Linked DNA regions of Elephas maximus indicus. The protein of the gene in region 1 interacts with the protein of each later gene in a pairwise test. Links are inferred from orthologs where the notes say so. Each region holds a gene or a part of one and is shown in the gene's direction. Other genes may lie near its edges.

Region 1 (11,090 bases):
TTTAGGTTCTGGTTCCCGTTCAACAATTTCTACGTAAGTTGTTCAGTGATACTGCTTACATTCTTCACAACACATGAACATTCTTGTTATTTCCGTTCTGGTTGTTCTGTTTCCATTAATCTAGTTTCCTGTCCCCTTACGGTCTCATCTTTGTTTTAAGAAATTGTTGATCCTTGGTCTGATATAGGTGATTTTTTAAAGGTGCACCATACTTAAGGGTGATATTATTTTTTGAGTCAGTTTGTTATTTAACTACAAGATGACATTAGAGGTTAGTTTCAAATCAAGGTCTGAAGGGTATTTCGGAGCAATTGCCTCGGGAAGTTTTCCAGTCTCCATCAGTCCAGTAAGTATGGTTTTGTTTTTGTTTTTTAGAAATTTGAGGTTCTGGTCCACATTTGCCTTCCATTTTACTAGGGTCCATCTCTTGTGGCTCTGATTAGAATGACTGGTAGTGCTAGCAGGGCATCCTCTAGTTCTTCTGGACTCAGGGTAGATTAAGCCGTGGTTTGTGTAAACTACTTATCCTGTAGACTAGTTTCTTCTTTGAGTCTTTGGTTTACTTCTTTCTTTTTTTGCTCTGGGTGAGTAGGCCAATAATTGTATCTTAGATGGCCGCTCGAAAGCTTTTAAGACCTCAGACATTACTCACTAAACTAAGATGTAGAACATAACTTTATGAACTATATTATGCCAATTGACTGAGATGTCCTACGAGACTATGGTTACATAGTCCTTCAAACCCAGACATTCCTTCAACCCCAGAAAGCTAATTCCGTGAGGTATTTGGTTATGTCTAAGAAGTATCCATAACTCTGTCCCCTCTCCTGATGAGTTTTTCAAAAACAGACTACCCTAAGCCCCACCTCTTGAGATTCTAAACCAGTAGGCCTAAGGTAGGGAGTCCCTGGGTAGTGCAAATGGTTAAGTACTTGATTACTAACTGAAAGGTTGGTGGTTCAAACCATCCAGAAGCACCTTGAAAGAAAGCCTTGGCAATCTGCTTCTGAAAGGTGACAGCCATTGAAAATTCTACAGAGTGCAGTTCTACTCTGAAACACATGAGGTCACCTTGAGTCAGAATTGACTGGACAGCAACTGGTGTTTTTGTTTTGTTTTGTTGTTAGGCCTGGGTAGAGCTTGCACCTCTATATCTGTTTAAAAAAAAAAAGTAAAACCCTGTTAGGTTCTTCTGGTGAGCATGGTTAGGTAAGGATCACTAGATAGAATGGTTATGGTAGGCTGGATTGGTGGAGAAAGCCCCATAAAGAGAGACTTTAGATGTTCCTTGCTAGGTGCGAAGCGTTTAAATAGGTAGAGAAGAAAAGAGGAGGACAAATCATTCTAGTCGCTGGGGCAAGACGTGCCACACTGAGCAAAACTGAGAAGCAGAAATGGGCAAGCACTCTTTGGGGGAGAGTAGTAGGCCGTTCTGCAAAGAATTCAAGGCAAATAAAGATGCTAGAATGTCCACTGGGTGTGGTAATTAGAAAGTAATTATTTGACTTTTAAAAATATAAGGCAGTAGAGGATTGAATCCAGATTTAGGAGTTAAGAAGTGAATGGGTGGTGGAAAATCAAGGCAGTGGGAATTTAGAGCACTCATCTGAGAATGTGGCAAGGAAAGGAAAGGAAAGCAAAAAATAGAATGGAATTTAAATAGTAAGAGGAAGACCAAGAGATTTTTTTCTGGAGAAGGGAGCCTGAACATGTTCGCAGGAGGTAGAATGGAATGCAAAGGAGAAGAAAAGAAGGGACAGTTTAGAGATAGAGTATAATTGGGATATATACATCCCAGGGTTAATGTATTTGTTTAAAGCCTGAGGTACATCATAGAGAGATTACACCAATTTAATTAGAATTAAAATTTGAATAAATTTACGGGAATTGGAATCTCTGACAACCAAAAAGTCTCTAAAAAAAAGTCCAGAGCAGAAAGCGAATAGTAGAGGGAAAAAAAGTTTCCGCCAACCGTGCCTATTTCTCCCACATGATCCCAGACCCACAAACTTTGTGGAAGTAATCCAGGATAGATAAAAAAAATTGAATGGAAAAGCTTCAAATTAGAATACAAATACATATAATCTGAGCTAGAACTGGAGCTAAATTGTATCTCTGTTCTTCCACAAGGAACAGGTAACCCCTTAAGGTGAGTGCTGGCTCTGGCCTCAAATCTCAGTTACTAGCTTAATGGCCTCTTCCTTGGAGTAACCCCTAGGGTTTGTGTACTAATAATCCAATGCAGAGAAGCAAAACAACAACAATGAACAACAAGGCATAATAAGGAATTCCAATAATTAAAAATTTTTGAAATGGATTATAAACTCAGAATTCATAAAATAAACCAACATCAGCCACTCTTAGTAAGATGGGTGATGGAAATGGTTTTTGAGCAAGAACATTCTGTCAGTTAAAGTTAGGGTAGACTAGAGCAGGTAAAAGAATACAACCCGAACTGTAGAGTTCTTGCTATCCTTTTGATATGAGGTGATGAGGGTCAGAGCCAAATCAATGTGTTTAGTTTTATATCACTGGATACAAAATCCTAACTAATGATTTGAGGATTACAAAAGAGAACTAAACTTTTTTTTTAATGAGATAGTTTTACTTTGTATTAAACTTTATAAATTTCCAAGTACCTTTTATTATTTCATTTGACCTTCCCCAAAACTTTGTGCAGTTGGCACCCATGTTCATTGCAACACTGTTTACAATAGCAAAAAGATGGAAGCAACCAAGGTACCCATCAATGGATGAATGGATAAATAAATTATGGTGTATTCACATAATAGAATACTACACAACGATTAAGAACAACAATGAATCCATGAAATATCTCATAACATGGAGGAATCTGGAAGGCATTATACTGAGTGAAAATAGTCAGCTGCAAAAGGACAAATATTGTGTGAGACCAGTATTATAAGAACTCTAGAAAAAGTTTAAACACAGAAGAAAATATTCTTTGATGGTTATGAGGGTGAGGCAGGAGGGAAAGGGGTATTCACTAATTACATAGTTGACAAGAACTATTCAAGAACTATTTTAGGTGAAGGGAAAGACAACACACAATACAGGAGAGGTCAGCAAAACTGGACCAAACCAAAAGCAAAGCAGTTTCCTGAATACAACTGAACGCTTCGAATGCCAGAGTAGCAGGGGTGGGGGTCTGAGGATCATGGTTTCAGGGGACATCTAGGTCAATTGGCATAGCAAAATGTATTCAGAGAACTTTCTGCACCCACTTTGATAACAGGCGTCTGGGGTCTTAAACGTTAGCAGGCATCCATCTAAGATGCATCCATCGGTCTCAACCTACCTGGAGCAAAGGAGAATGAAGAACACCAAAGACTTATGGTAAAGATAAACCCAAGAGACAGAAAGGGCCACATAAACCAGAGACCCCATCAGCCTGAGACCAGAACTAGATGGTGTCCAGCTACCACCGATCACTTCCCTGACAGGAAACACAACAGAGAATCAGGACCAGGATAACAGTGGGATGCAGATCTCAAATTCTCGTAAAAAGACCAGACTTAATGGTCTGACTGAAACTAGAGGGACCCTGGAGGTCATGGTCCTGGACTTTTTGTTAGCCCAAGACTGGAACCATTCCTGAAGCCAACTCTTCAGACAGGGATTGGACTAGACTATACGATAATGAATGATACTGGTGAGGAGTGAGCTTCCTGGCTCAAGTAGACACATGAGACTACATAGGCAACTCCTGTCTGGAGGTGAGATGAGAAGGAAGAGCAGGACAGGAGCTGATGAATGAACATGGGGAATACACGGTAGAGAGGAGGATGTGCTGTCTCATTAGGGAGAGAGCAACTAGGAGTACATAGCAAGGTGTGTGTAACTTTTTGTATGAGAGACTCACTTGCTTTGTAAATTTTCACTTAAAGCACAATAAATAAATTAAAAAAAAACTTTGTGCAGTTGGAAGAATGGAATTTATTATCTCAGGTTGATCAAACATGTAACAGAGACACAGAACAGTTTAATAAGTTAATTCATTCAACATTTGTTGAGTGCCTACTATGTGCCAGGCACTGTTCTAGTTAGGGTTGTGTATCTTGCTAATGCTTGACCCAGAGTCAGAATCCTTGATCCGTTATTGTTGGTGGAAATGTAGTCACACTGCATTCATTTATGGCTGCTATTCAGTGGCCCACTTGAATACTAAACCCATGATGCAAAGTTTATAAATATAGATGCTGGGGCATACCAAATAGCATAAGTCTTTTGGGTATGACTTGGAAAGGTTTTTGTGTTTTGTACATTAGGCAAATTGTATGTCTCACACATGTTCATGGAACAGGATGATGTATATACAAAATACCTTTGTATACTGATTAAAGATTGTCTCATAACCCACAGGGTGCAAGGTATGTAACCGTGTATAAAATATGTTATGGAATAATTTTAAATTTATAGCTTTATAGCTCAATGTCTTTGGATTCTTTAAAGAATTTTCAAGCAAATAAATAGATGCTTTATACATTAGTCATAGAGACATTAGAGAACAGGCTCTATTAGACACCAACTCAGTTGCTAAAACTCTTTAGATTTTCAAGAAAAAAAAACTGAGCCCTGATTTGGTCAAATTCTATTCTGAAACAGAGGTCTTGAAGTGAAATGTACAGTAATTTCTGGAATGTAAAAAACCCAACCCAGTGCCGTCGAGTCAATTCCGACTCATAGCGACCCTATAGGACAGAGTAGAACTGCCCCATGGAGTTTCCAAGTAATGTAAAAGCAGACGTTGTTTTCCACATGGTCTAACCAGTGTTTTTCATATAAATTAAATGGCCCAAATCCACTTTACAACGGATTTAAGAGGTTTTCTTCTTTTGACAAGTATACCTCCAATATGTTTAAATTACAGGTGAGCTCGAGTCTTTTAATGCTTTTTGTTAGGGTCTACTGGACTCCATTACTTATATTAGTTGAAAACTCTAGGACTGTGCATGTATGTATATGTATCCGGTTTCCAATTTTTAAATTTTGAAACAGTGTTTTTAGTTACAACGAGATTAACAAATACTAGAGAAAGTGGGGCACGAAAAATGTTTCCTCAACATCAAGTCCCAATACTAGAAGCAAGAGCCACAGGTTTGGAGGTTTGTACCCGGTGCTGGAAACATGGTTTCCAGGATCCCTGCCAGGAAGGAGAGTCTTGCTCGCCACATTGCTGATGTGGTCAAACTAGTCAAGTGACTCTGCAGAAAATGCACAGCCCTTAGTCAAGCTGATGTATCTGACCTCCATCCTTGAGTCATTGTAGTTGGCTTTACAGGCCAGGACAAATAAGCCTTGAGCCCAATAGTAGGGCCAGGATACTAGCATCTGATGCACCATAAACGGAAGTCAAGGCCGCGCCAATGCAGGGCTTCTTTTTAAGCGGCGATGAGCTAAGAGGCAAGGTCAGGAAGAGGCAGATCTTCATTCCCTGACTTATAGAGTGGCTGACCATAAAGCTGTTCCGTTTCTTTCAAAACTGGATGGGAAACCTGAACCAGGTGTGCCTTGGGAGGATTACCTGGGTCAGCCACCTCTATATGTGGGGTGACACTTTCAGATGAAACACCAAACTCATGCCGTCACTGGCCAGTCCCAAATTTGCATCGCTCAGCCCCGCACTCCACCCGGAAAACCCTCAAACCTCAAGGCCCTCAATCCTTTGCAGCAACAGCTTCAACTCATAAAAGCCAGAAAAAAAAAAAAAAAAGCCAGGGCGTAAAGAAAAGCACCGGCTCGGAGGATCCCGCCTCTTTTAGGCCGCGCGCTGAAATCAAACTCGACGCAGACTTGTGGGGGGCCGGGCCGCGCGCACTCCGCTCCCCGACCCAGGCAAGCCCGGGCCGCCGCCCGCCCGCAGCAGAGCTGGGCGGGGCCGCCTCGAGACAGCGGAGAAAAGGGAGTCTAGGAGGAAGAGACGCCGGAGGTGCGCTCTGCGCAGGCGCGCGGCGCCCCGCCTCCCCAGCGTCGGCTGCTGGGCGGGAGGGGCGGCCCCTCCTACTCTCCGCGGCGCCGCCTCACGGCCCCGTCCCTTGCTTCACCCCGACGGCCCGGTGTGCGCGTCCTCCCGCCGGCCTGCAGGCCGGGCGCTTCCGCCTGCCCCGCCGCTGCTCCTCGCGGCCCCAGCTTGCGTTCACGCTGTCGCCCGGGCCAGCGCGGCCGCGGGCAACCGCTCCCCCTCCCACACGTACCCCGCCCCCTCCCTGCCTTTTCCGCTCTCCGATCCCCCTCCCTCGGCCCGCAGCCGCTGCTCCAGATGAGGTGATGGCAGCGTCCAACTTCGGCAAGATCCAGATCGGGATTTACGTGGAGATCAAACGGAGCGATGGTGAGCCGCGTCGCGGGCCTGGCCAGCCCCGCGTTCCGGTGTACACGGAGGGGACGCGGGCGCCGGCCGCCTCATTGATTGCTCCGTGGGCTGTGGGGGCGGGAAGGCGGCGGCCGTGGCGCTTTTGTGTGTGGCTTGTGTGCGGGTGAGGCCGGCGTGGGGTCCGCCCGGGGCGCCGCTGTAGTGCTGGGGGCGGGGAGGGGCCTTGAGGAGGGCTGCGGGGGGCTGGGCCGCGGGGGACGGCGGGCGGGCAAGGGGCCCGGGTGTCGCGGCCTGCGCCTCTGGGGGCTTCGGGCGGGCGCGGTGCCCGGGAGGACGGCCCCTCGCTCCGCCTGCGATCGCCATCCTCTCCGGCGGCTGCAGCCCTGAAGGGAGTGGGCTTCGTGAGGGCTGACCCTGCCGCGCGTTTCCTCCCGGCCTCTTCATTTTTACTGGTCTCTTTGAACGTTGGGGGTGGGGAGGATGCAGAGCAGTGATTTCAGCGTGTGCAGAGCCGACTTCTGCTTCAGAGGCTGAGATGGGGGGGAAGACCGATTCCGCTGGTTTAAACTGCTGTGTGGTTGTCAGGCCTCTCCCCCGGCTCTCGTTTCTGGAGCTTGTTTCTTCATTTTTGCTAGCCCCTTTTTTGGGAGAACGATGTAGAGAATGTCATGCTCAGCCATGAATAAGGATGGGGGAGCAATGGGAAGAAATAGTCGATAAGCTTTTCAAAGATGATGAGACTGAAAGGGAAGGAGAGGAGATGAGCGCCGTCAGTGCGAGACATTGCCCAGAGGGTGGGGGCGGGCGACCGGATGTTGATATTTTCACACCCCCGGGAGAGGTAAGAGGGAAGTGTGAGGGGCGGTGAAGACATGTTTAAAAAAAAAAAAAAAAAAAAAAGGCTTGTGTGTCTTCCTGTAGATTCCTCTTGGGGAAAATGTTTATTTCAGTAACTTTGGGTGGGGAGTGAGGCACGCCGCCAGACTTGGAAACAACCTATGTCGTAAAGGAGAGAAGTAAAATTCTTTTCTTTCGGTGTGAATATTGAAGGAACTAGAGGTGTGTGATGTTCTTTACTGACTCTGCCTCGCTAAACCAATTTCTTTAATTTATGGCTTACTTTCTGTCCCTTAGCCTAGTCTGTAGCAATCTTGGTATCACATCCGCATCGTCTGGGTTTCTACGAAGTTCGACCAAGTTATGAGAAGCTAGATTGACTTATCTGTGTGATATACTGGAAGACCCAATATAGGTGATGGATTTTTTCCCCCTTCTTTGTACTTCAGGTCGTTTGTGTTAGCAACTGGAAGCATCATTATCCTGTATGTAAAAAGATAGATTATACCCATTGAGCTTTAGAAGTTAATGGTAACACTAGTGGGAAAGAGATGTCTCCTTTACTTGGGTTGGGGTTTCTTTATTTTTTTTTCTCCTCAGATTAACTTTATTGGAACAGCGCTGTGTCATTTCCTTTTTAGGTGAATGTGATTTCGCTGTATACCAGCAAAAGTAGTATTTACATATAATTTTCAAAACTTTGGGTGCAATAAAATGTATCTTTTTAACCTTCTTATAAACCTTTCATTATGAGTGTTAACTGTAAAATCTGTTATTGGAAAAAGTAGCATTTATTTGACATTTGAGAGGTTTGTATGTTTTCAAGGCATTTTTCTGAGTCGACATTTTTTTTTAAAATGTATTGAGCTTGAAGCTGTATTGGTTCTTCTGGAGTTCTAGCCTCTTGTTAATTGCTGTCAAGTCAATTCCTAGAGCCTTATAATATTCTTTGCCCTATTCAGCCTGTACCAGAAATTCTCAGACATACAAGAGTATTGTGTTCTTATATATGTGTTAGTAACCTAAACTCACATTTCAAAAGCAATTTTCCCGTAAGAAATAATGGTAAAAAATGGAAATCTTTACAATGTGTATTATCCTAACCTAGTAGTCTTGTGATACTGTACATATTTATGGGCCTTGGGTGCATGATGGAGTTGGTGGAAGACAAAAGATAAGTTGAGAATTTGAAAGGAATAATCATTTGCATTTAATGATGGTGTTTCATAGTAGAAACTGATATATCAGAGACCTCCCTCAAGCTTTTCCTTTTTCCCTTTAAAGACACTTTTGCTTCCTCCCCCTTGTATAGCAGATCTGTGTTGAGTAAAACACTAGTGGTTATTGTAACTAAAATAAACTTTACTGTTTGATGAGCACTAATGCCTGAGACAATAGAAATCACATAAATGAAGAAGGGCTGCTTCAGATGGCTATTAACTAGTTACTTGATGTTCTGCACCTTGTTAGTGGTAATCCTTGTCCTTTTTTCAGACCAGGCTTTTCTCATCAGTGATGCTTATATGTTAGGGCATGTTCCAAGGGCAAACAGGTAAACTTAAGATGATTTATACTATCTTTCAAGACCCTGCTCAAAAACTAATCCCAGCAAGTCTTCACTGTGCTAAAACCAGATGGCCAGCTTGCCTCTGACTTCCTTAGTCACTTTGTACCATTCACTAGACATCATATTTCCTTGACTATTAGTATTTAGGTACATTTCTCTTAATATTATGCTTTCAAACTATACTAGGGGAGGGGTGGTATGAAGAATGCAATGGTGGGGGGATGGCAGGCTAATAGACTGTTAAGTTCCCTGTATTCCCCTTATGTGCCTGGCAGGGTTCTTTGCATTTGTTTTTGAGTAAATCATCCATTATTGGATTTTTGGTTTTCAACATTATTTTAATTAACCACTCAGACGAAATCTTACTGGGAGGTGAAAGTTCCATCTAGGCTCATCTGTACTGCAACTATTCTACTATGACCCCCCACTGCCTACACTGGCCCCTTAGTTCAGGATCCCCAGATTCCATTGAAACTGAGTGATCTGCTAAGGCTAACTTGAGTTTTCTGGTATTCTAAGGTTAGAGATGACAGGAGTTAGGCTTGGACTACTGAGATTGTTCCCAGCCATAGATGATAATCTAGTATGAAATTGGATTGGTTTCTGGAAATGGACACTTATGTGTAATTTATTCTCTTGCATTTGTCTTTTAACTTTATGATTCAATTCCTTAAAGTCCAACGACTCTAAAAACTACAGTATTAACTGTTGTGTAGCTTAGTCTTATTGGCAGATTTTAAAAACTGCACTGTTAAAGCATTTCTTACTGGTTGTACAGCGTCTGTGACTACGTTTTGGTAAATGGGGGAGGGATAAGAAATGTTGAATATTTCGAAGCTGCAGCCAAGACGGGATTATTTTGGGGGTCATTTAGTCACAATGTTGATATATAGGAACTGAAGGAAATCAGGATGTCTAACCTAGAAGGATTCTTGGAGATAATCTAGTTGTCAGTTTTACAAAGGTAGAAACTTAGTCTCAAATAAGTGGATTGTCTAGGTTTATACAGCTTGTTAATGACAGCCATGTATGTCTTGCATAGCAGAGAATCTATACTGTTAAGAACTGTAGCGGTAAAGAGAGAATTCTGTTACTTCAGAAACATACTGATTTCTACAGCCAGATAAAGGTATAGGAGATTAACTTCTTATTTGGGAAAGCCACCAGAGAGCAGTGTCACAGAGCCCGATTGGAATGATTCCTGGGAGAACGTGATACAGTATAGTCACTAAAACCAAAAAACCAAATCTGTTGCTGTTGAGTCAGTTCCGACTTATAGCAACCCTATGGGACAGAGTAGAACTAGAACTGCCCCATACAGTTTCCAAGGAGCGCCAGGTGGATTTGAAATGCCGACCTTTTGGTTAGCAGCCGTAGGTCTTAGCCACTACGCTACCAGGCTTTCCGTATAGTTACTAGAAGATCACAAAACCAAGAATAAATTTGTAGGACTGTGAAAAGAAAATATTGCTGCTTCTTAATTAAACGGTGGTGAAAAAGTGTTTTTGATTAGCCCTGAAATCCATGGGAAATTGAAAAATTTCAAAGAATTTTTGTTATTTGGGAATTTTGGAGCTTAGGGCAGGCAACCTTTAGAAAAGGTTTTAAATGGCCTAATTCTCATATGGGAATTCCACAACACTTAATTTTGCTCATGCAGAACCTATACATGGACCAAGAGGCAGGCATTCAAACAGAACAAGGTGATACTGCACGGTTTAAAATCAGGAAAGGTGTGTGTGTCAGGGTTATATCCTTTCACCATACTTACTCAATATGTATGCTGACCAAATAATCCAAGAAGCTGGATTTAATGAAGAATGCAGCATCAGGATTGGAGGAAGACTCATTAACAACCTGATATATGCAAATGACACAACCTTGCATGCTGAGAGTGAAGAGGACTTGAAGCACTCACTGACTACAGCCTTCAGTATGGATTACACCTCAATATAAAACAAAAATCGTCACAACTGGACCAGTAAGCAACATCATGATAAGTGGAGAAACTTTTGAAGTTGTCAGTGATATCATTTTGCTTGGACCCACAATCAGTGCCCATTGAAGCAGCAGTCAAGAAATCAGATGACGTATTGCATTGGGCATATCTGCAAAACACCTTTCTAAAGCATTAAAGCAAAGATGTCACTTTGAGGACTAAGGTGTGCCTGACCCAAGCCATGGAATTTTTAGTTGCCTTATATGCATTCCAAAGCTGGACAGTGAGTAAGGAAGACCAAAGCAGAACTGATGCATTTGAATTATGGTGTTGGTGAAGAGTATTAAATATACCATGGTCTGCCAGAACAATGAACAAATCTGTCTTGGAAGAAGTACAGCTAGAATGCTCCT
Region 2 (10,519 bases), on another chromosome or scaffold:
GAAAAAAAGGACCATACAGATAACTCCCGCTAATTTTCTGACTAGAAATGCCATCTTCACTCCCAGGGATAACTCAAATTATCCAGAACCTTCCACAAGTGGAGTTATTACCACAATTGACAAAATGTCAATGTTGTCCATCTCTTTTCCATCATTGGAATAAATTTTTATGATCTATATATTTTTATTTATGTATGTATTGAAATATATTTACAAGTTTATATGTAAGGTTTCCAACTCCCAAGGACAAATAAAGATTGGATTTATTAAGATACTGATAATAAAGGCAATAATAATGAAAACTTAAAAAAAATGAGATATTTGACTTACATCAGAACCAATTTACGACAGTGATGGAGACTACCTGTAATTTGTACATTTGGGAGTATGATGGTACTGTATTAAGTACTTTACATAATGTTTGGTCACACGCTAGTTTAGATGTTGCTATAAAGGTATTTAGATGTTATTAGCATTTATAATCAGTTGACTTAAGCAGAATATGCTCCATAATGTGGGTAGGCCTTATCTAATCAGTTGGAGGTCTTTAGAGCAAAAATTGAGGTTTCCCAAAAGGGAGGAACTCTGCCGCAAGACTGCAACATAGAAATCCTGCCTGGCAACCTGCCCTATGGATTTCAGACTTGCCAGGTCCCACAAACCAGTGAACCAATACCTTAAAATCAATCAATCTCTCTCTTCATATATATATTTCTTATTGGTCCTCTTTCTCTGGAGAATGTTGACTGATGTAGATTTGGTAAAAAGAGTGGTTCTAGGGGAACAGAATTTTAAGGATGAATTTTCTGAATTTGGCTGAGTGATAGAGGGAGAAGCCAGGCTGGAGAGGGAGAGGTGAAGTGACAGAGATACATACTAAAGTACTAAAAAGCAAAAATTACATGATATCTAAATTTACTTTAAAATATTCCAGAAAAAAAAAAGTGTGTATATGTGTTTGGAAGTTGTGTTAGGCAGAGTAACAGTCCCCTAAAGATATCGGGTTGCTATGAGTCGGAATTGACTCAACGGCACTGGGTTAAGGATATCCAGGAGCCCCTGGGTGGTTCAAACGGTTAACATGTTCAGCTGCTAACTGAAAGGTTGGCAGTTCAAGTCCAGGCCAGAAAGACCTGGTGACCTACTTTAAAACAATCAACCACTGAAAACCTTATAGAACACAGTTCTACTCTGCCACACACGTGGCTGCCATGAGTCAGAACTGACTTGATGGCAGCTGGTAAAGATGTCCAAGTTCTAGTTCTAGAAACCTGTGAATATGTTACGCCCCAGTGCCCGTCGCGCACCCTCGGGATTTTGCAGATGTGATTAAGTTTAGCACCTTGAGATGGGGTGATTATCCTGGATTATCCAGGTAGGCCAATCTAAACACATGAGTCCTCAAAAGTGGAAGAGGGAGGCAGAAGGGAGAAGCAGAGGGAGATCTGACTACAGAAGAGGTGGTCAGAGGGATGCTATGTGAGGACTCAACTTGCCATTGCTGGCTTTGAAGATGGAAAAAGGGGACCACAAGCCAAGGAGAATGGGCAGCCTCTAGAAGCTGGAAAAGGCAAGGAAATGGATTCTTCCCCAGAGTCTCCTTAAAGGAACACGGCCCTACTAACATTTTGATTTTTGCCCAATGAGACCTGTGTTGGACTTCTAACCTACAGAACTGTAAGATAATATATGTGTGTTGTTTAAAGCCACTAAGTTTGTAGAAATTTGTTAGGGTGGCAATAGGAAACTAATACGAAGGTGTATATAAATGAAACAAAAATGCCAAAATATGGCTAATTGTTGAAGTTGGATGATGAGTAAATGGGAGTTAATTATATTTTTCTCTCTACTTCTATGTTTGAAAACATTCATAAAAAAAAGTAAAAATATAAAAGAATGGATTTGACTTCAAGAACATAAATAAATGATTTAAATCTCAAACAAAAGTTATTATTTTTTGATGAATCATATAACCATTAAATGGATTAGACTCTTATCTTCAGTGATCCACACATTCCTTCTCTGAAGGCAAGTCTTGATGGGAAACCAGATTTGGACATCACAGAATCCAGAGCCATGCAGAGCAGAGTTGGTACGTGTCTACATGCTTATGTACTTAATCTATGATGGACCGATACATCCATCACCACTGTGGGAGGATGTTCAAGTTCAGGAGACAGGGCACCCTCACTTCAAGACTGTACTAGCAACATACTAACATATTATAATCTTGAACAATTTGTAAATTTCCACTTTATTGCCATGTAAGTATAGTAACAACAACAATAGTTTAACAGCACTCGCCACTTCCCCTTCCCTCTCCATATTGCAGCAATATTTTAAAAACTCTCAGTGATTTCCCATTGCTCTGAGAATAAAATTCAAACTCCGTCATAACCCAAGAGCCCCTTCGCGATCTGCATTAGGCCATCTCTCCAATCTCATCTCTGGCCAAAAAAAAAAAAGCCAAGCTTTGTTTATTACAAGATAGCTATACTCCTCTTGCCACACCTCGCTTAAGTGCACTACAGATTCAGTTATCTCCCCTCAAGCCTTAAAAACCCCAAGCTCCTTTAACATTAGGGGAAAACTTATCTCCCCTTATAGAGCCACTATGAGTTGGAATCTACTCTATGGTAACGGGTTTGGTGTTTTTTTTATCCTGGTTAAATTGGAGCCTTGGTGGCCCAGTAGCTAAGAGCTATAGTGAGCTACAGCTGCTAACCAAAAGGTCGGCAGTTTGAACCCGCCAGTTGCTCCGTGGGAGAAAGATGTGGCAGTCTGCTTCCATGAAGATTACAGCCTTGGAAACCCTATGGGGCAGCTCTGCTCTGTCACATGGGCTTGCTGTGAGTCGAAAATCAACCAGACAGCAACTAACAACAACATCTTGGTTAAAAAGCAATAAAAATAGCTAAAAACGAACATAATTGAGTTAGGGGCTTTGATAGGCATTTTACACATATTATATATTATCTCATGTTATCTTCAGAACTTAAATGGTTGGTGTCTTTCCTAAAGAGATGGAAAAAGGGGAAGAACCTGGTTAGGTTAGCTCCTCTAACACGTCTACGGAAAACTGGCACTCCCCCTCTCACCAATCCCCAGCCTCCACTGCTTTGTGTCAATGTTTTGAATCAAATAACTTGTTCCTCTGGGCCAGGTGGGACCCTACCCAAGGGCAAATAATCCATAGGTTGGTTAATGATTTGTGTGATGTGGTTAGAGAAAATAAGCTAAACTGTCTGTCTTCTATGAATTTGAACTAAGAAGCAGAGGAAGAATTTGGCAATTATCAGCAGAGGCAGAATAAGTAATGCAATGAAGATTCAACAATGCCATACTGCGTCAGTCAGGGTCCCTGCAAAAAACAGGTGGAGAGCTCAAAATGGGCAATTTGAGGAGAGTTGTTAAAAGCACCATTTACAGAAGTGTAGGCAAGAGTCAGGGAAGCCAACAAAAGATAATGCAGTACCCAAAAGGCTGGCTAGAGGTTATTACCCCTAGGCCTGAAGAGGCAAAAAGAGGGATTTGGAGTGGGTTTGGAAACTCTGGTGGCATAGTGGTTAAGCGCTACTGCTGCTAACCAAGAGGCTGGCAGTTCAAATCCTCCAGGTGCTCCTTGGAAACTCTGTGGGGCAGTTCTACTCTGTCCTATAGGGTCGCTATGAGTAGGAATTGACTTGACGGCACTGGGTTTTTTTTTTTTTAACTGTACAGAGAAGGCACTGCAGCCAACCCATGGTGACCCAACTGGGGCAATAAGGCCTATGACCTCACTCTTCTCTGGCTTCCAATCTATTGTACCTCCCATTGCCTGAACCCATCCAGATACTAGAGAAGGTGGTGCCCTGTGAACAGGTCAGTCCTCCCTGGCAAAAGAGCAGAAGGGTGGAGAGTAGATATAGAGGTGCTAATAGAAGATACATGAAGTCGTTTGCAAGAGATAGTTATATGCAACTAGGAGTTTTTAGTATAAATTTAAAAGAGGAGCAAGTTGCAAACTTAGCGATGTAGCTGATTGACGTTAGTGGCATTGCATTACAGCGAAGATCCCCAACACCTACTGTTGAGTTCTCTAGAGCCCTTTTGAATTCCAGCTCTTCTCTCCCTGCAACCAAAATCCATTTCCAAGAAAGTTCCCCTGTGTTCCTTCAATAAGCACCCTTACTTGAGAAGGTCCCTGTATGACTTTTCACTTAAAAACACTGAACAAAACAACCAACCATGGTTAGAGTAGCCCACACAAATCAAACTTTGGAGAACCATTCCACATAATCTTTTGCTCAACTAAATCAGTCTTTAATCAACATGTATTTAAATAGGTTACAGGAAAATAGAATGTGTTCTCTGAATCATCCTAAGTGAATCTGTTGACAAGCTTTCCTAAAGGGGAGAGTCAAGTATTATCTGGCATGTCTCCAAAGAGGTGATTATAACAGGAAGAGGTAGTTAAAAATACAAAGCTTCACCAAAGAGAGAGCAAAGATGGTGCCTCTCTGGGAATACATGTGTAAATACAATCCTCACTTAATAGGAAAGGAGGTTGGTTCGAAACCAAACCCGTTGGTATCGAGTTGATTCCAACTCATAGTGGCCCTACAGGAGAAGGTAAAACTGCCCCATAGGGTTCCCAAGGCTGTAAATCTTTAGGGAAGCGGACTGCCACATCTTTCACTCAGGTAGCAGCTGGTGGGTTCAAACTGCCATCCTGTCAGCTAGCAGCCAAGCACTTAACCACTGGGCCACAGGGTCCTCAGAGGTTGGCTAGGGTCAGGTAAATTAGAGATTATTGATACAGATGAGAAACCTTGTTTAGAGCTGTTTTAATGCATGACTAGTTTGTTAGCCTGAAGAAAATAATTTATGCCTAGTACAGCTTTTGAGTTAATAAAATTAATCTCGAGTTTAATGTGACTGGAGCTAGGCTAGAAACCCTGGTGGCATAGTGGTTAAGTGCGATGGCTGCTAACCAAAAGGTCTGCAATTCGAATCCACCAGGTACTCCTTGGAAACTCCATGAGGCGGTTCTACCCTGTCCCATAGGGTCACTATGAGTGGGAGCTGGACCACAGGAGGGTGGTCCTGTACTAATTATTTGCCTGGCCTGACAGTTTTAAGTGAAGCTGGGTTGGACTAGTTCCAAGTCCACACAAATTGCGAATACCTATTTTTGGCAGAGGTGGAGTGGGAGGGGGGGGACTTTTAAGCGAAAAAATATTTTCACCTGTGAACTCACTCTCAGCAACCTTGCACAGCAACACTAACTCACAATACATGCACATGAAACCAATAAGTGAATGAGTGCCAAGTAGAAAGCTCCTATCAGATCCCCCCAAAGATATTTGCACTATTTTAATGCAAATCTATTCCAGGAAAAAAAAAAAAAAAACAACAACTTGGAATGGGTTTAATTTGTAATCAAATGTTATCTCCCCGAATTAAAGGAACAGGTTAAAAAAAAAAAGAGAGAGACCAAAGAAATATTAACTATTTGTTATACTCAAGAGCACTTTAATGATACTTCAATTAGCGGGTGGAAACAGGGGTGGGGAAGTGAACTAAACCAACTGCCCAGGCAAAGGTTTCATATACAGTTACCTACAGATAACAGCGTTCTCATTTTGTACGTGGCTCAAGGCTACAGGTGGTCGCGGTGCCAGGGGGCAACTTTCATCCTGCCAGGGCACCTGGGTCAGGGGGACGGGCACCCCGGTCACTGGGGAGCCGCCCCGGGCCTGTGGCAGAGACAGTTCTACCGAAGTTCGATTCGGCTCCAGGGACTAAGTGTAAAGCGACTGCCCCTGCCCGCCGCGGCCGGGCCCGCCTGGCACCACCTGCGCAGCCTGCCCCGCCCCTCGCCCGAAGCCACCCCAGCGGGCGCGAGCCGGAGGCGAGTCACAGAGGCCCGGTGCGCGCCCCGCCCCTGCGCCCGCAGGCCGGCGGCCGTCATCCGCGAGCCGGGGACTCGCTCTGTTCGCCCGGCCTCCCCTACGGCGGGCCGCCGGGGTAGGGCGGGCCCTGAGGCCGGCGGCACCGGCTGGCTCGTCAGTCTGCCAGCCGCCGCGGCCTGGTTGAGGGCAGGAGCCGGTGAGTAGCCACGTCACGCTCCTCCGGCAGGCCCCGCCCCCGCCCCGTCCTCTCGGACCGCCCCCCATGTCCCCGCCTCCGCGAGCAGTTACCGGCTCCCGGGGCGCGCGCCTCCCTCGCTCCGGTGGAGCTCTGTCGGCCCCGGCTCGCTGCTCGTCCGCCGCTGCCCGCGCCAGGTGAGGGCTCGCGGCTCCCGGCTGCGGCGCCCGGCGCGTGTTGGCGGGCTCCGGGCGTGCGCCGCCGAGGCGGGCTGGGCCGGCGGGCAGTTAGCGCTCCGTTCGGCGCGGGGAGGGGCGGCACGCCGGGCGCTGCACGGCCTCGGGCGACGCGGGCGGCGGTGGCGACGGCGGCCGGGCTCTCGGATTCTCTGCCCCAGGCCGGAGCCGGTCGGTGCCCGGGCGGAGGAACGGGCAGCCGGGCTCCCTGGCCCCAGGGCCCCCCCGGCTGGGGCGGCTGGGGCAAGGGGACGATGTCAGCTCGCGCCCCGGTGCCCGTCGCGCACCCTCGGGAGGAGCTGTCGGCAGCGGCTGCTGAGAGGGAGTCGCTGTCGGCCGCGGCGAGCAGGCAGGCCGAGCAGCCGCCCGCGCCCGAACGGGAGGGCAAAGAGGCGGCGAGGGAGGAGAGGGCCGTGGCCGCCAGCAGTGCTGGGGCGCGTGGAGAGCCGTCGCCGGCGCCGGTGCTGGGACACAGTGTGCCCCAGGCGGCCGTGCCCGTGAGGCCGCTGGCGCTGCACCTGGCGCACAAGGCGCGCGGGTCCGGGGGCCCCTTCGGCGGGGAGCAGCCGCTGCGGGAGCTGCCGGCCGAGGACGCCCGGGAGGAGGAGGCGGTGGTCGGGCCTGAGGAGAAGCCGCCGCCGCCGCCGCCGCCTAAGGAGAACCCCTGGACCAAAAAGCCTCCCCCGCACCTGTCCCCCACTGGGACGGAGCCGCCGCCGCCCCCGCTGGAAACCCTGGAGGCAGGTCTGTGGCTCCCGTAGGGTGGGAACCGGGAGGGTGTGGGAACGGACAACTCGTGGGACTTGCTGGCGCGTGGTGGCGAATTGGGCGCTGGGCGGGGGGAGGGGCAGGCCTCGTCTCCCTGTCAGTCGGAGGTATTTCGTTCCAAGGTGTCATTCACTCTGCTTATTTACATAAATGGACATCTAGGAAGGGAGCGGCAGGAAGAGGTGGGACCTCAGGTTCTCCTTGACTGGTGGGAGCGCGGCGGGGTTAAAGTGGCATCGCTGCGAGGCTGGCGCGGCCTCGATCGTGCTTTGCCTCCACGTGTTAGCAGCTCGGGAAAGTAGCGAACTTAGGCCGATAGTCTTGCAGTTCATCCGGGGGTAAAAGGTCCTGTGAACGTTTAAAAACCGGCTGAACCAAGGCGGAGCAAGGGGCTTCATTTGCAAGAGCAGGAGGAAGCGGGGTCCTGGTATTTTACTGTAAAATAATTGAAGAGCTGAAAATCTCAAGGCTTTCAAAGAATTATTAATATTAAAATGTTGCTATTTCGGTGCCTTGAGTTATGATTGTTGTGGGAAAAAATGGAAATAGTTGACACGTGAGTGGATTGCGCATTAGGTAAATGGTAGTCCTTTAACGTTGAGTTAGCTCTCCTTCCCTTTAACTGTGGAGAGCAGCCACTGCGCTTGGAATGCTGGCCAATGCATTATGGCCCCTGGTGCTTTATTTTCGTTGTAGCAGCTGCCGTTTTTAAAACTATTAAGCAATTAAAAATGGAAATGCTAAATAAACAAAGGTAAAACGCATTTTCCAGTTTTGATTTCTTAGGGTATAGTGAATTAATTGAACTTTTTATATAGAAATTACAGCTGTTTATTTCACTTTTTCTTAAAATTAAAGGTTAACAGCAGAATATAGGGAAAATCTGAGCGTGTTATAAAAAAACAGGGTTGTGAGAATCAAATGATAGTGATATAAAATGAACGGTGATTATTAAAGACACACGTTATGTTGCTGATATGTTACCGTTTCTTCAGAGGAACTCTGCAATAGAGTGAAATAAGTGTTGAGTTAATTGAGTTCCTTAGCTTTTGCTTCTTGATAAATTTTGGCACTTGCAGAAAAAAGTACTTAAAAATTTGCCCTGAATTTAATATTGTCATTTCTTCCTCTTACCTAGAGCTATTTGTTTACCTCTTTTACTGACTGAAGAGAACACCGTTAAGGAAAATCTCCATAAAATTTAGCAAAGAGAAAGAAAGCTTTAGTGAAATCATTTTTTTTTTTTTTTTGGCTCTTTCACCTGCCTACTTCTAGACTTATATACAGTTATGCGTTATATTCCATGACTACCAAAAAATGAACTCTTTTGTGTTGATTATAAAATCAAAGCCTAGGGAACTTTAATTGCAAGTGATCTTGTTAAAAATATCTTACCAGGTTAGTTAATTAATTTACTGGTACTTTCATCAGAAGGGGTGTCTTAATCCCATTGGAGGGAGTCCCTGGGTGTCAGAAACAGGTTAAGAGCCTCAGGGAAAACGCGTGCCGTACTGCTTCCGAAAAGTCACAGCCTTGAAAATCCTGTGTTGCATTTCTACTCTGCACACACAGGGTCACCAAGAATCGAAGTCAATTCCCCAGCAACTAACAACAATAATATTCATTGGAGATTAAGAACAAGGTGATGCTTGATGTGTGGTGGTGTTCCTGGGAATGTCAGTTTTACTGATGGCTGTAGGTTGCTCTTCACTCCTTGGGCTCCTTTCTTTGCCTTCAGGAATACCATTCAGGAGTAATGTAGTAACTTTTATAGTCTCTCCCCATGACTGACTACACTGTTCAACCATGATTTATATTTGCAATTGAAAAACTTAGTTAACTTAGATTATGGTATAGAAATGGATTGTTCTGAGAGACTTGGATTCTAGTCCAGGTGTTGTTACTAAGTAGCTAGTTGACTTTTGGCAAGACTTCTGGACCTTGTAAATGAATGAAATGGTGAGACTCATGTCTTCCACTTCTGAATACCAGAGTGCCATCTTTAACCTTGGTGCCCTGGCTTCGTATTTTCCTAAGAAAACTTGCAACTCCAAGAATAATGAAATAGAAACAGAGGCCCTTCAGGTTCAGAGTAGGTGCACACCAGAAGGTAGGGTGCCTATATAATTATCTTACAAACCAGGATGCTCTTGAGAGAGAAAAGGGGCACCGTTGATTATACTGGGATAACAGACTTAAACCAGGCCTTTTCTGCCAAACGTGGATATACTGCCACTTAGTGAGGCAAAACAATTCCACCTATAAAATTTTGCCAGAAAGTTTATTGCCAGATATATAAATAATATAGGAATTTGGGATATATTTCAGGACACAAATTCTAAATTTTCTCTACATGAAAATTTGCGGTTCTAAGTGAGGTAGATTTTAGTTTCTCCAGTTGTTGTGAGAGTCTTTCTACTTTTAGGATGGTTCTCCTGGCCGGTATATTATACTCTCTGGTGATCCTGATAAGATAGCTTTGGGATAAGGCCCTCTTCAACCCAAAGCCACCCCAGAAGTCTAGAATAGTGCCACTGCTGTCTTGAATTTAGTGAGACCAGAAGGAACTTTCTCACAATCTGTGTCCTAACTTGTTGAAATTAGTTTTATTTATTTGGAAATCTTTACTGAAATCTGAGTATGGGATTCATTAACCACTTACCTGTAGCCATGGCTGCGTTTTGCTTACTAAAAATCAGTTTTGTAAAGTAATTTGATTCCTTTCACCCCTGAAACCAAAATCCGGTGCCATCGACTTGATTCCAACTCATAGTGACCCTGTAGAACAGAGTAAAACAGCCCCATAGGGTTTCTCAGCAGTGGCAGGTGGATTTGAACTGCCAGCCTTTTGGTTAGCAGCTGAGCACTTAACCACTGTGCCACCAGGGCCCCCTCTCTTATGAAAGCATGTGCAGGGAAGCATTGCTTTTGCCATTCTTAGAGAGTCTTCTGACTCCATGTTGATCTTCATCAACCCTTAATGTTCCAACACCTGCTTCCAAAAACCTCAAATAAGCTTACTGTTATTACCCTAATGAAATAACATTTTTGGTAAAAGCATAGAACTCAATGTCCCCTTTAAAAAAAGTGATACTCATGTTACCAGTTTACTGGATATCCTTTCAGACCTCTTTCTATGCAGTTACTTCCAAATAAAATGTTTTGTTTATGTGCTTAGAATATAAAATGTCATTGTGCATTTTTCCAGTCAAAGTATTGGCTGATCCATTTTAATCCAAACTTCTTTAAGAAATTTCTGAGAAGCGGTCCATATATACAGCTATACATCATTAATTTAGCAATGTTGACCATCATCTTGGTAGTTTACATTTTACTAAACATTAAGCCAGTGAAGATTTTTATACATGCCTCTTATACGCGTGTGTGACTTTCTCTTGGGCAGTGTTATGAATTGAGTTGTACCCCCCCAAAAAATATATGTCGTA
Region 3 (10,917 bases), on another chromosome or scaffold:
TTAAAGTCAAGACATGTGTGCGCCTGGGTTGTATCCTTTCACCATACATATTCAATCTGTATGCTGAGCAAATTTTCCCGGAAACTGGACAATATGAAGAAGAAGGGGGCATCAGGATTGGAGGACTCACTAACAACATGCAATATGCAGATGACGCCACCTCGCTTGCTGAAAGCGAGGAGGACCTGAAGCACTTGCTGATGAAGATCAAAGACCACAGCCTTCAGTATAGATTACAACTCAACGTAAAGAAAAATCCTCACAACTGGACTGATAAGCAACAGCATGATAAATGGAGAAAATATTGATGTTGTCAAGGATTTCATTTTACTCGATCTATGATCAACATCCATGGAAGTAGCAGTCGAGAAATCAAATGGTGCATTGCATTGGGCAAATCTGCTGCAAAAGGTCTCTTTAAAGCGTTAACAAGCAAAGATGTCACTTTGAGGAGTAAGGTGTGCCTGACCCAAGCCGTAGTGTTTTCAATAACCTCGTATGCATGTGGAAACACTGGTGGCGTAGTGGTTAAGTGCTACGGCTGCTAACCAAAAGGTCAGCAGTTCAAATCTGACAGGCGCTCCTTGGAAACTCTATGGGGCAGTTCTATTCTGTCCCATAGGAAAGCTATGAGTCGGAATCGACTTGAAGGCAGTTTGGTGGTTTGGTTGTATGCATGTGAAAGCTGGAGAGTGAATAAGGGAGACTGAAGAAGAATTGATGCCTTTGAATTATGGTGTTGGCAAAGGAAAGAACCACTCTGCGCTGGAAGAAGTACAGCCAGAATGCTCCTTAGAAGCAAGGATGGCGATACTTCCTCTCACATACTTGGGACATGTTATCAGACGGGACAAGTCCTTGGAGAAGGACAGCATGCTTGGTAGAGGGTCATTGAAGAAAAGGACCTCAATGAGATGGATTGACACAGTGACTGCAACGATGGACTCAAGCATAGCAGCGATTGTGCAGATGGCGCAGGACCAAGCAGTGTTTCATTCTGTTGTGCATAGGATGGCTATTAGTCGGGACCTACTCAACAGCACATAATAACAACAATTACTCTAAAAGCATCATGGTGGCAAGGCCTATGTTTTCTTTATCACTACGGAACATTGACAGGTATGTTGCATTTGTTCAATGAATAAGTAAATTATACCAGTTCATCTATTTTGCATTTTCCCCTATATTTTCAGGAGCTCTTTTCTCAAAATTTAACATGGCATTAATAGATAATATAATTAAAACAACAACACCAACTATTTCAGTCTTCAATGAGTTTGAGAAATACTTGATTAAAAATGATGAAACCTTTTTGTTGCTACTGAACCCCTCAGAGCCTAACACACATTGTAAATTTATAACTTTCAAATTTATACATTTTATTTTTGGCCATGTAACTTTTTTTTCTTTTCTGGACCACCTAAGAGACTAGAATTCCACCGAGGACACTTAGGGAAACACTGGTCTAGAAATCTCTTTTCAAAAACTCAAATGTTAGTTTTTCTGCCTCTCTTTTTGAACTCTCCTTGAACTGCTGTTTAGTCTAACTGAGGCTTTTCAAAATAACCAGATGTTGTATGGTTATCCATCATTATTGTCCTATTCCATGTTGCATAATACAACACATAAAAAAAAAGACACTTGAAAAGATAATTTCTAAACCTGATTTAAGATGTGAACAAATAATGTCATAAGAAATGACTGAGAAGTAAAAATTAAAATGGTTGATATCCTTACATACTGCCACATTTCAGGGCTTTTTTTTTGTTTGTTTCTGGAACATCTTTGCTTTGTAGCCATAATCAGCTGTATCAACAATTTGTTTTGATTGTACGTGGGTACTACCTGAAACCTAATTTTGATCCATTCATAAGTTTTTGAGAATTCTTATTTATTTCCTATGAATTTATTAAATGCATTTATTAAATGCATTTGTTATTTAATTTTATTCTCAAAGGGTCCATATTAGTTCATACAGCTAAGTCCTGTTTCAAAGTTAAAAACAATGTACGTTTCCATTCCGAATGGACCACTGAGAAAGTATAAATGAGACAGTATAATTTTTTTCTGCATCCAAAACCCATTGCCGTTGAGTTGATTCCGACTCATAGTGACCCTATAAGACAGAGTAGAACTGCCCCACAGAGTTTCCAAGGAGCACCTGGTGGATTCGAACTGCTGAAATTTTGGTTAGCAGCTGTAGCACTTAGCCACTACGCCGCCAGGGTTTCCTTTTCTCTGCTTAAGAACTTTTCAAAACAGTACCATAGTGGGGTCCGGAAACTGGCAAACTTTGGATCTGTAGAACTAAAAAAGCTGAATGTAGACTTACCTTCATCAATCTCAATAAAATAGAAAGAGTAGACCTCAATTTGTGATGATTCAGTACTAAATTCTCGCTTGTACTGAAGAAGCCAAGTCTTGACGCTCCACAAAGTAGCTCCTGTGAGATAGTAGGTGGTTTATATATATGTTGTTGTTGTTCGGTGCTCTTGAGTCAGCTCCTACTCATGGTGATGGCATGTATAATAGAACGAAATGCTGCCCCAGCACCATCCTCACCACAGTAGGTGTGTTTGAGTCCATTGTTGCAACCACTGTGTCACTCCATCTCATTTGAGGCTCTTTCTCTTCCTCGATGACCCTCTACTTTACCCAGCATGCTGTATTTCTTCAGGGATTGGTCTCTCCTGATCACATGTCCAAAGACAAGTCTTGGCATCCTTGCTTCTAAGGAGCATTCTGGCTGTACTTCATCCAAGAAGGAGCGGTTCTTTCTTTTGGCAGTCCATTCAACATTCTTTGTCAACACCATGATTCAAACGCATCAGTTCTTCTCTTTGGTATTCCTTTTTCATTGTTCAGCTTTCGCATGCAAATGAGACTATTGAAAACATCATGGCTTGGGTCAGAGGCACCTTAGTCCTCAAAGCGACATCTTTGCTTTTTAACACTTTAAAGAGGTCTTTTGCAGCAGATTTGCCCAATGCAATACATCATTTGGTTTCTTGATTGCTGCTACCATGGACATTGATTATGGATCCAAGTAAAATGAAATCCTTGACAACATCAATATTTTCTCCATTTATCCATGACGCTGCTTATTGGTCCAGTTGTGAGGATTTTTGCTTTGTGTTGAGGTGCAATTCATACTGAAGGGTGTAGTCTTTGATCTTCATCAGTAAGTGCTTCATGTTGTCTTCACTTTTAGAAAGCAAGGTTGTGTTATCTGCATTGTTGTTGTTCCTAGGTACTGTTGAGTAAGTTCTGACTCATAGTGACCCTATGCACAACAGAACACTGCCCTGTCCTGCACCATCATCACAATTGTTGCTATGCTTGAGCCCATGGTTGCAGCCACTGTGTCAATCCTTCTCATTGAGGGTCTTCCTCTTTTTTGCTGGCCCCCTATTTTACCAAGCATGATATCCTTCTACAGCGAATGATCCCTCCTGATAACATGTCCAAAGCATGTGAGATGTAGTCTCTCCGCCCTTGCTTCTAAGGAGCATCCTGGTTGTACTTCTTCCAAGACAGATTTGTTTATTCTTTTGGCAGTGCACAGTATACTCAATATTCTTCACCAACACCATGATTCAAAGTCATCAATTCTTCTTCAGTCTTCCTTATTCATTGTCCAGCTTTCGCATGCATACGAGGAAATTGAAAACACCTTGGCTTGGTTCGGGCTCACCTTAGTCCTCAAGGTGATGTCTTTGCTTTTCAGTACTTTTATTAAAGAGGTCTTTTGCAGCGGATTTGCCTAATGCAATTTGTCTTTTGATTTCTTGACTGCTGCTTCCATGGGCGATGATTGTGGATCCAAGTAAAATGAAATTCTTGACAACCTCAATCTTTTCTCTGTTTATCATGATGTTACTTATTGGTCCAGTTGTGAGGATTTTTGTTTTCTTTCTTTCTTTTTTTTTATGTTGAGGTGTAATCCATACTGAAGGTTGTGTTCTTTGATCTTCATCAGTAAGTGCTTCAAAATCTCTTCACTTTCGGCAAACAAAGTTGTGTCATCTGCATAATGCAGGTTGTTAATGAGTCTTCCTCCAATCCTGATGTACCATTCTTCTTCATATAGTCCAGCTTCTCGGATTATTTGCTCAGCATACAGATTGAATATGTATGGTAAAAGGATACAACCCTGACGCACACCTTTCCTGACTTTAAACCATGCAGTATCCCCTTGTTCTGTTAGAATGACTGCCTCTTGACCCATGTACAGATTCCTCATGAGCACAATTAAGTGTTTCGAAATTCCCATTCTCTGCAATGTTATCCATAATTTGTTACGTCCACACAGTTGAATGCCTTAGCATAGTCAATAAAACACAGGTAAACATCATTCTGGTATTCTCTGCTTTAAGCCAGGATCCATCTGACATCAGCAATGATATCCTTGGTTTCATGTCCTCTTCTGAATCCAGCCTGAATTTCTGGCAGTTCCCTGTCAATATACTGCTGCAGCTGCTTTTGAATGATCTTCAGCAAAATTTTTCTTGCATGTGATATTAATGATATTGTTTGATAATTTCTGCATTTAGTCAGATCGCCTTTCTTGGGAATAAGCATAAATGTAGATCTCTTCCAGTCGGTTGGCCAGGTAACTGCCTTCCAAATTTCTTGGCATAGAATAGGATTGAGCAATTCCAGCACTGCATCCATTTGTTGAAACATCTCAACTGGTATTCTGTCAATTTCCGAAGCCTTGTTTTTTTGCCAATGCCTTCAGTGCAGCTTGGACTTCTTTCTTTAGTACCATGGGTTCCTGATCATTTGTTTTACCTCCTGAGATGGTTGAATGTCAAGCAATTCTTTTTGGTATAGTGACTCTGTGTATTCATTCCATCTTCTTTTGATGCTTCCTGGGTTTGGGGGGTTGTTTAATACTGAACAACACAGGTCATCTGCATAGCACAGGTTAATGAGTCTTCCTCCAATCCTGATGCTGTATTCTTCTTCATATTAGTCTAGCTTCTCGGACAATTTGCTCATCATACCTGTTGAATAAGTATGGTGTGATGATACAGTCCTAACACTCACCTTTTCTGATTTTAAACCGTGCAGTATCTCCCTACTCTGTTGGAATGACCGCATCTTGATCTATGTATAGGTTTGGCAGGAGTACAATTAAGTATTCTGGAATGCCCATCCTCCAAAATATTATCTGTAACTTGTTATGATCCACACAATCGAATACCTTTGTGTAGTCAATGAAACACAGGTAAACCTCCAAAGGCTGGATATCTCCAAATTTATTTCAGCCCGTAGAGTTCAAGTCTAAGACCACAGTAGGCTTTTATTCAGCTTAATTTAAAAATATTTGTAGAGAAGAAAGTGAAATTGCAAAGAACCTTAATGAAACCTGTTTTTCTCTGAAAACTTGATTTTGGTTTATCAAAGAATGTGACTCTCATACAAATCTAGGCCACGTGTCAGAGATCAATTATTCAAGAGGAAACCTGTGGAATGGTAAAGCTGGTTCCAAGAGCATGCTGAGAATCTGAGTGTTTAAAGGCGCTTAGAGAGAATGTTAGTGTTAGATTGTTAGGTTGGATGCAACATTGCTCAATGTCTTACAGTGCAATAAAACCATAAACTCTGAGGTTATCTTTTCTTCTGGACAGATCAGACAAAATTTGCCAGTTAACATGTAACCTCAGTGTCTGGGATCTAAAAAAAATCAATAGTGAATAGTAAAGTCAGCCATATTCTCCTAGAGAATTAAGTAGCCCTCAGGTGGACCTGCTGAACAGTCTCTTCCAGTGACACTGACGGCTAACGTTCCTCTCCCTCATGTCCCAGTTTTGGGTAATTTTTCTAATTATCTGAAAATGAAAATTTATACATAAAAAATTATTATGTACCTCACTGTCATCTCAGTTATTTGTGGGAGTGGAGAGATTAAAAAAAGGGGGGAGGGGAATGGGGCTTTTAATTCAAAATTTAAAATAAGCATCTGTCACTGATGACTGTTTATTCCATGTCAAGGTCAACATGGCAGAACAAATGAACAATGGAAGGAGGGAAGGACACATATCTCCAGGGGAATGCAGGAGGAGAGGGCTGGTAATCTTCCCCTCCCCCAACAGCGCTGACTTTATTCAAAGGGGAAATGTTTGTGATCTCCCTGTCCATTGTGAAGAAGCCTGTGAGTTGAGCTCCAGCAGGCTGCTCCTGGGAGCACCAAACCCCACTCCTTGCACTGTCCCTTAGTCACCAGGTAATAATTCCTCCACTCGCCCTGCGTGGGCTCATTCACAGCTTTGTAGTCCGGGGCTGGGCGCTTCCTGTTAGGAACTGAAATAACAGCGAGGACAGATCGTGTGTGATGCAGAAAGTCCTTCGTTAAAAAAAAAAAAAAAAAAAAAGCGGCTCTTCTTTTTCCTCGCCAAACACACACACACGCGCACGCGCGCACACACACACGCACACTCACAGTACAACAAAACACACTAGCAATGTCTCCCTCCCTCCTTTCGTTCCCTCCTGGCTTCCTCTGAACGCTGCTGAATCTGTGCCAGCCTCCATCCCTAGGGGTGGGTGGGTAGCTCAGGAAAATTGGTAGGAGACGACTGGAGGACAGCAAGTCTCCTGGGCAGAAAGAGTTGGGCATTGCTATTTCCAACCGCGGGGGGCGAAAGGCCTGGATTAAACGCGGCGCCGGGACCGGCGAGGCTAGGGTCGCGGGGCAACTCTCCAGCGCTCCGTGCTGGGATCCCGGGTACCGGTTCCGCCCCGCCGCCGCGCCCCGCCCGGCTCAGTCCCGCAGCCTCGCGGGCTGCCGGGCTTTGTGGTTCGCCCGTGCCGCTGGGCCCCTGCTGGGGGTGTCGTTACGAGCATGTGCAGACAGCAGCCCAAGGTAGAGCGAGCGCGCCGGGCGAGCCCTGAGGCTTGCCTTGCAATGCCATGTTTGTGTGTGTGCTCTAACTCCCGGAGAGCGATCAGGGAGACGGCTCCCCGGCCAGACTTGGCTGATGTTTTCTTGTTTCTGTTTCAGCCTTCAGGATAATTCCTTCGGCAGCACCATTGTAACAGAGTAAGTGATTCTTGCCATTAAAATAAGACTTGCATGCCTTTTGGTGGAAGCAACTATCGTGAAGGTACCCTCCACGGTCCCCAGCTGCTCTTCCTATTAGATGCATTGTCTCCTGTTATCTGGGGCTGTGAAGACTGCGAGACGTGCTGATTGATGGGCCCAGAAATCTTTACATGTTGAAAGCAACCTTTTAGCAGCTGCGGGAGAGATATTAAAACAAACTGAATGCTTGCGGGAGCTGAATGCTCCAAGATATGTGTTCTTGGAGCTAAGATTTTTTTTGTTTTTTAAAATCTATTTGCCATGTCAGAAAGGAAGCTTGGTTGTATTTTGCCAACACTGGTGTCAGTTTTCATGGAGTGCACACTGTATACATTTACAGCAAATAGAGAATGGGTGTGAAATTACTTGAGCTGAATGCAAGCGTGTGATAAACAGGCTAAACTTGTCTTCATCCTCTTCTGTCTTCAGATTTTTTGAGAAACAGCAGAGTAAACTTTTCTTGCATGTCCTTTGTCATTTTTGTCTTCTGACCTCAAAGATCTGACTGTGGGAGTAATGATTCATTTGGCCCTGTGATAAAAACTGGTGATTAGGGCAACTAACACCATTTCTGTGTGGAATGAAGGAGGGTAATGTTTTACTCAAGGCCAACAGGCAGTGTGTTTTAATCGATATTTATAGTTCGTGGTTTTAATTCTCATCATCCTTCTTAATATGTTTTATGAATACCATAATACACATTAAAAAGTAATAGTATTTTGGCTAGTATATGTAATATATATACAGTGTATGTATATACATATACATATGCAATGCATGTATTACATCTAGCAATCTTTCTCTAACTCAGGGTGTTTACTTCTGGGACCTTTCTGTGGAAGTCACTCTACACAGCTTTTCAGGAAAAAGGGCTGTGTAGGTTTATGCCCTCAGCTACATTACGTATAACGCCTGGCGGATTCGAACTGCCGACCCTTTGGTTAGCAGCCGTAGCACTTAACCACTAGGCCACCAGGGTTTCCACATTATGTGTATGTGTATATATATATATATATATATGTATATATATAAATGCTATGTTTGATATAGAATGCCCAACTTAGATGCTAAAGTTCCATGGAAGGGAAGTAAGAATTTACAATTTGAGTGTCAAGTCCTGCACTGTCACGATGCCTTGGTGATGGAGGGCTAAGATCCCATGGCGCTTCACAGTGTCTCTAGTTTCCCACTTTCTTTTGTTTCTCTGGTTGGATGTGTCCAGCTTTGAACTCACTGAAGTGGAGTCGCTTTTTAAAAAGCAGGCTTGACTTTAGAAGAGGTAATATGACATTTTCATGGGGACCTGCATCCTGCTAATGAGATTGCTGGGTAACCTGTTCAGCAACTTTGCTCTTCTCAAAGCTGGAGAGAGGGGAAAGGATGCTTCTTGCCAAGGTATGCAGGCCAAAGATGAAGGCTTGATTTCCTGGTTCCGGTGCACAGGTGCTGACCTCCTCCCGTTGCTGTGCATACAAGCCACAAGTGCTTTCTGGGCCTGATTCTCTGAAACCCTATGCAGCTGAATCCCCTTAGTCAGCCATGGGCATAACAGCTTCAAAACGGAGACACTTAGTTCTAGGTCGCACTTGAGCCATTTAAAAAAAAAAAATTTTTTTTATAGTTAAATGCTGGAGAGAGTCTGGTACCTTGTCTCTGGACACTCCCCAGGGAGTTCTGATTGCATAAGATCATGTGGTTACTTTCAGAAAAGTGACAGTGATTTATTTTAAAAAGCACTGAGTGACAACTGGAAAACCATCTGGCTAATTTACAAAATTTAAAGAGAATATTTAAAACATTCCAAAAGCTGTGTACGTGTAAAACAGCACGGACCAGTGTCACTTAAAACTAGTCATTGTCAAATACAGCATTTTCTTCTCACCCGGGTCATATGAACTCTTTTTTCTTGGCTCTCTGGACATGTCCCCATGACAGGCAGTGCAAGAGTGCCCTGTATTGAGATGCAGACATCACAGGTGCTCAGGACATGTTTGGATGAGGCCTTGGTAGACACTTTGGAAGCACTTTCCTCTGGTGTATGTTTTGGATACAAGAAAATTTCCCCACCCCCACTCCTAAAATTCACCCGCTGATTTTCTTCAGTGCCTGAAATTCCACCTAGAGATGATTTCTTTTGGAATAAGGCCTCAGGGGTGACCCTTATTAAAATAGAAATTAAAAAGTATGTGCCCCCTGGAAGTGGATTCAAGTTGTCATTAATGCTTTACCATAAATTATTCTTCAGATAGTCTAACCTAACAGAGTTCTGCTTTGGCCAGCTGGGGGTCTTATAAGGGTCAGAGGGAAGGAGAATTGGAAGGGATTCAGGACAGTTTTTATTCACTTCTGGGTTTTTCCCAGTCATGGTCTGCAGCTCTGGGCCAATACAATTTCTTTTTCTACCCAAATTCTTTCAAGATCAAAATGGTCTTGACCTTTTCTTCTGTATGCAAAGCACCCTTTCATCCGTTATTTTTCCAGGGTCATTTCCTAGGTCATCTTGGCAAACCTGCTATTTGAAATGAAGCCTGGTACAAAAGGAATTCTGACTTGTCATCATCGGAAGCAGGGGTTCCAAACCCAACTGGTCATCAAAATCAACCAGGGGTGGGGGAGGGGGACTTGTGAAAAATAGTTTCCCAGGCTTTCTTCGAAGTGGAAACCCCGAATGCATGGTTGTGTTGGAGTTAGTCCAGCACGGGTCTGGGACTGGGAAACGTTTGTTGTTGTCGTTAACAGCCCTTGAGTCAGTTCACCCCCAGCCCCCCACTCAGGGTGACCACATGCACAACGGAAGTAAATACTGCTCAGTCCTCTGCCATCTTCATGATCTGTTGCAGATTGGATCATTGTTATCCATAGAATTTTCATTGGCTAATTTTTGGAAGTGGGGACTTCTGCGTGGAAGGTGAGAATTCTACCACTGAACCACCAATGTCCTCACTGGAATATTAGAGGCACATTAATTACATATGGGGGGTATTCTGCTTTAAAAACTCACATTCCTGGGCCCCACCCTCAGAGTGTTGAACTAGGGGGTGGGAGTGTTAGGGGACCAAAAAAAAAAAACCAAACCCATTGCCATCCAGTCGATTCTGACTCATAGCGACCCTTTAGGACAGAGTACAACTGCCCATAGGGTCTCCAAGGAGCGGTTGGTGGATTGGAACTGCCGACCTTTTGATTAGCAGCCTGAACTCCTAACCACTGGCCACCAGCCAGGAGCATGCTATTTTAAACAGGCACTCCAGGTTGTGCTAATACAGGTGGTGCTGGGGCCATGCTCAGAGAAGCCCCATGTGAGGCAGCACTACTACAATGGTACCCTCAGGGAATATGATATCACAGGGTGAATAGAATTCCCCTGTCAGCACTGATAAACTGCATTTTATCTAATAAGAAACCCGAGGCCTTTCTTCTTACTTACCCCAACTTGGAAAAGAGAACTTCTCACAGGCACTTCTTTCCCTGTCATCATTATAAGAAACAAGTGTTGTTGTTAGGTGCCATCGAGTCAGTTTTGACTCACAGCGACCCTATGTACCACAAAACGAAACACTGCCTAGTCCTTCGCCATGCTCACGATTATTGTTATGCTTGAGCCCATTGTTGCAGCCACTGTCAATCCATCTCATTGAGGGTCTTCTTCTTTTCCACTGACCCAGTACTTTATCAAGCAAGAAGTCCTCCTACAGGGACTGATACCTCCTGACAACATGTCCAAAGTATGTAAAACACAGTCAGTCCCCCCATCCTTGCCTTTAAGGACCATTCTGGTTGTACTTCTTCCCAGACAGATTTGTTCGTTCTTTTGGCAGTCCATGGTA

Evidence for each region.
Region 2: the proteins of KIF2A (region 1) and LARP1B interact in binary tests that used the Homo sapiens proteins (3 or more experiments, as listed by UniProt). The two-hybrid records come from large-scale screens. The link is inferred for Elephas maximus indicus from reciprocal best matches to the Homo sapiens genes KIF2A and LARP1B.
Region 3: the proteins of KIF2A (region 1) and FAM13C interact in binary tests that used the Homo sapiens proteins (3 or more experiments, as listed by UniProt). The two-hybrid records come from large-scale screens. The link is inferred for Elephas maximus indicus from reciprocal best matches to the Homo sapiens genes KIF2A and FAM13C.

Annotation. Positions count from the first base shown.
Region 1 is NC_064820.1:66,850,456-66,861,545, forward strand, and holds the start of KIF2A (kinesin-like protein KIF2A), read left to right. Parts: upstream 1-6,041; 5' UTR 6,042-6,288; coding exon 6,289-6,352; intron 6,353-11,090. UniProt on the Homo sapiens protein: Plus end-directed microtubule-dependent motor required for normal brain development. May regulate microtubule dynamics during axonal growth. Required for normal progression through mitosis. Required for normal congress of chromosomes at the metaphase plate.
Region 2 is NC_064823.1:17,727,324-17,737,842, reverse strand, and holds the start of LARP1B (la-related protein 1B), read left to right. Parts: upstream 1-6,282; 5' UTR 6,283-6,559; coding exon 6,560-7,049; intron 7,050-10,519.
Region 3 is NC_064834.1:28,815,280-28,826,196, forward strand, and holds the start of FAM13C (protein FAM13C), read left to right. Parts: upstream 1-6,889; 5' UTR 6,890-6,986; coding exon 6,987-7,048; intron 7,049-10,917.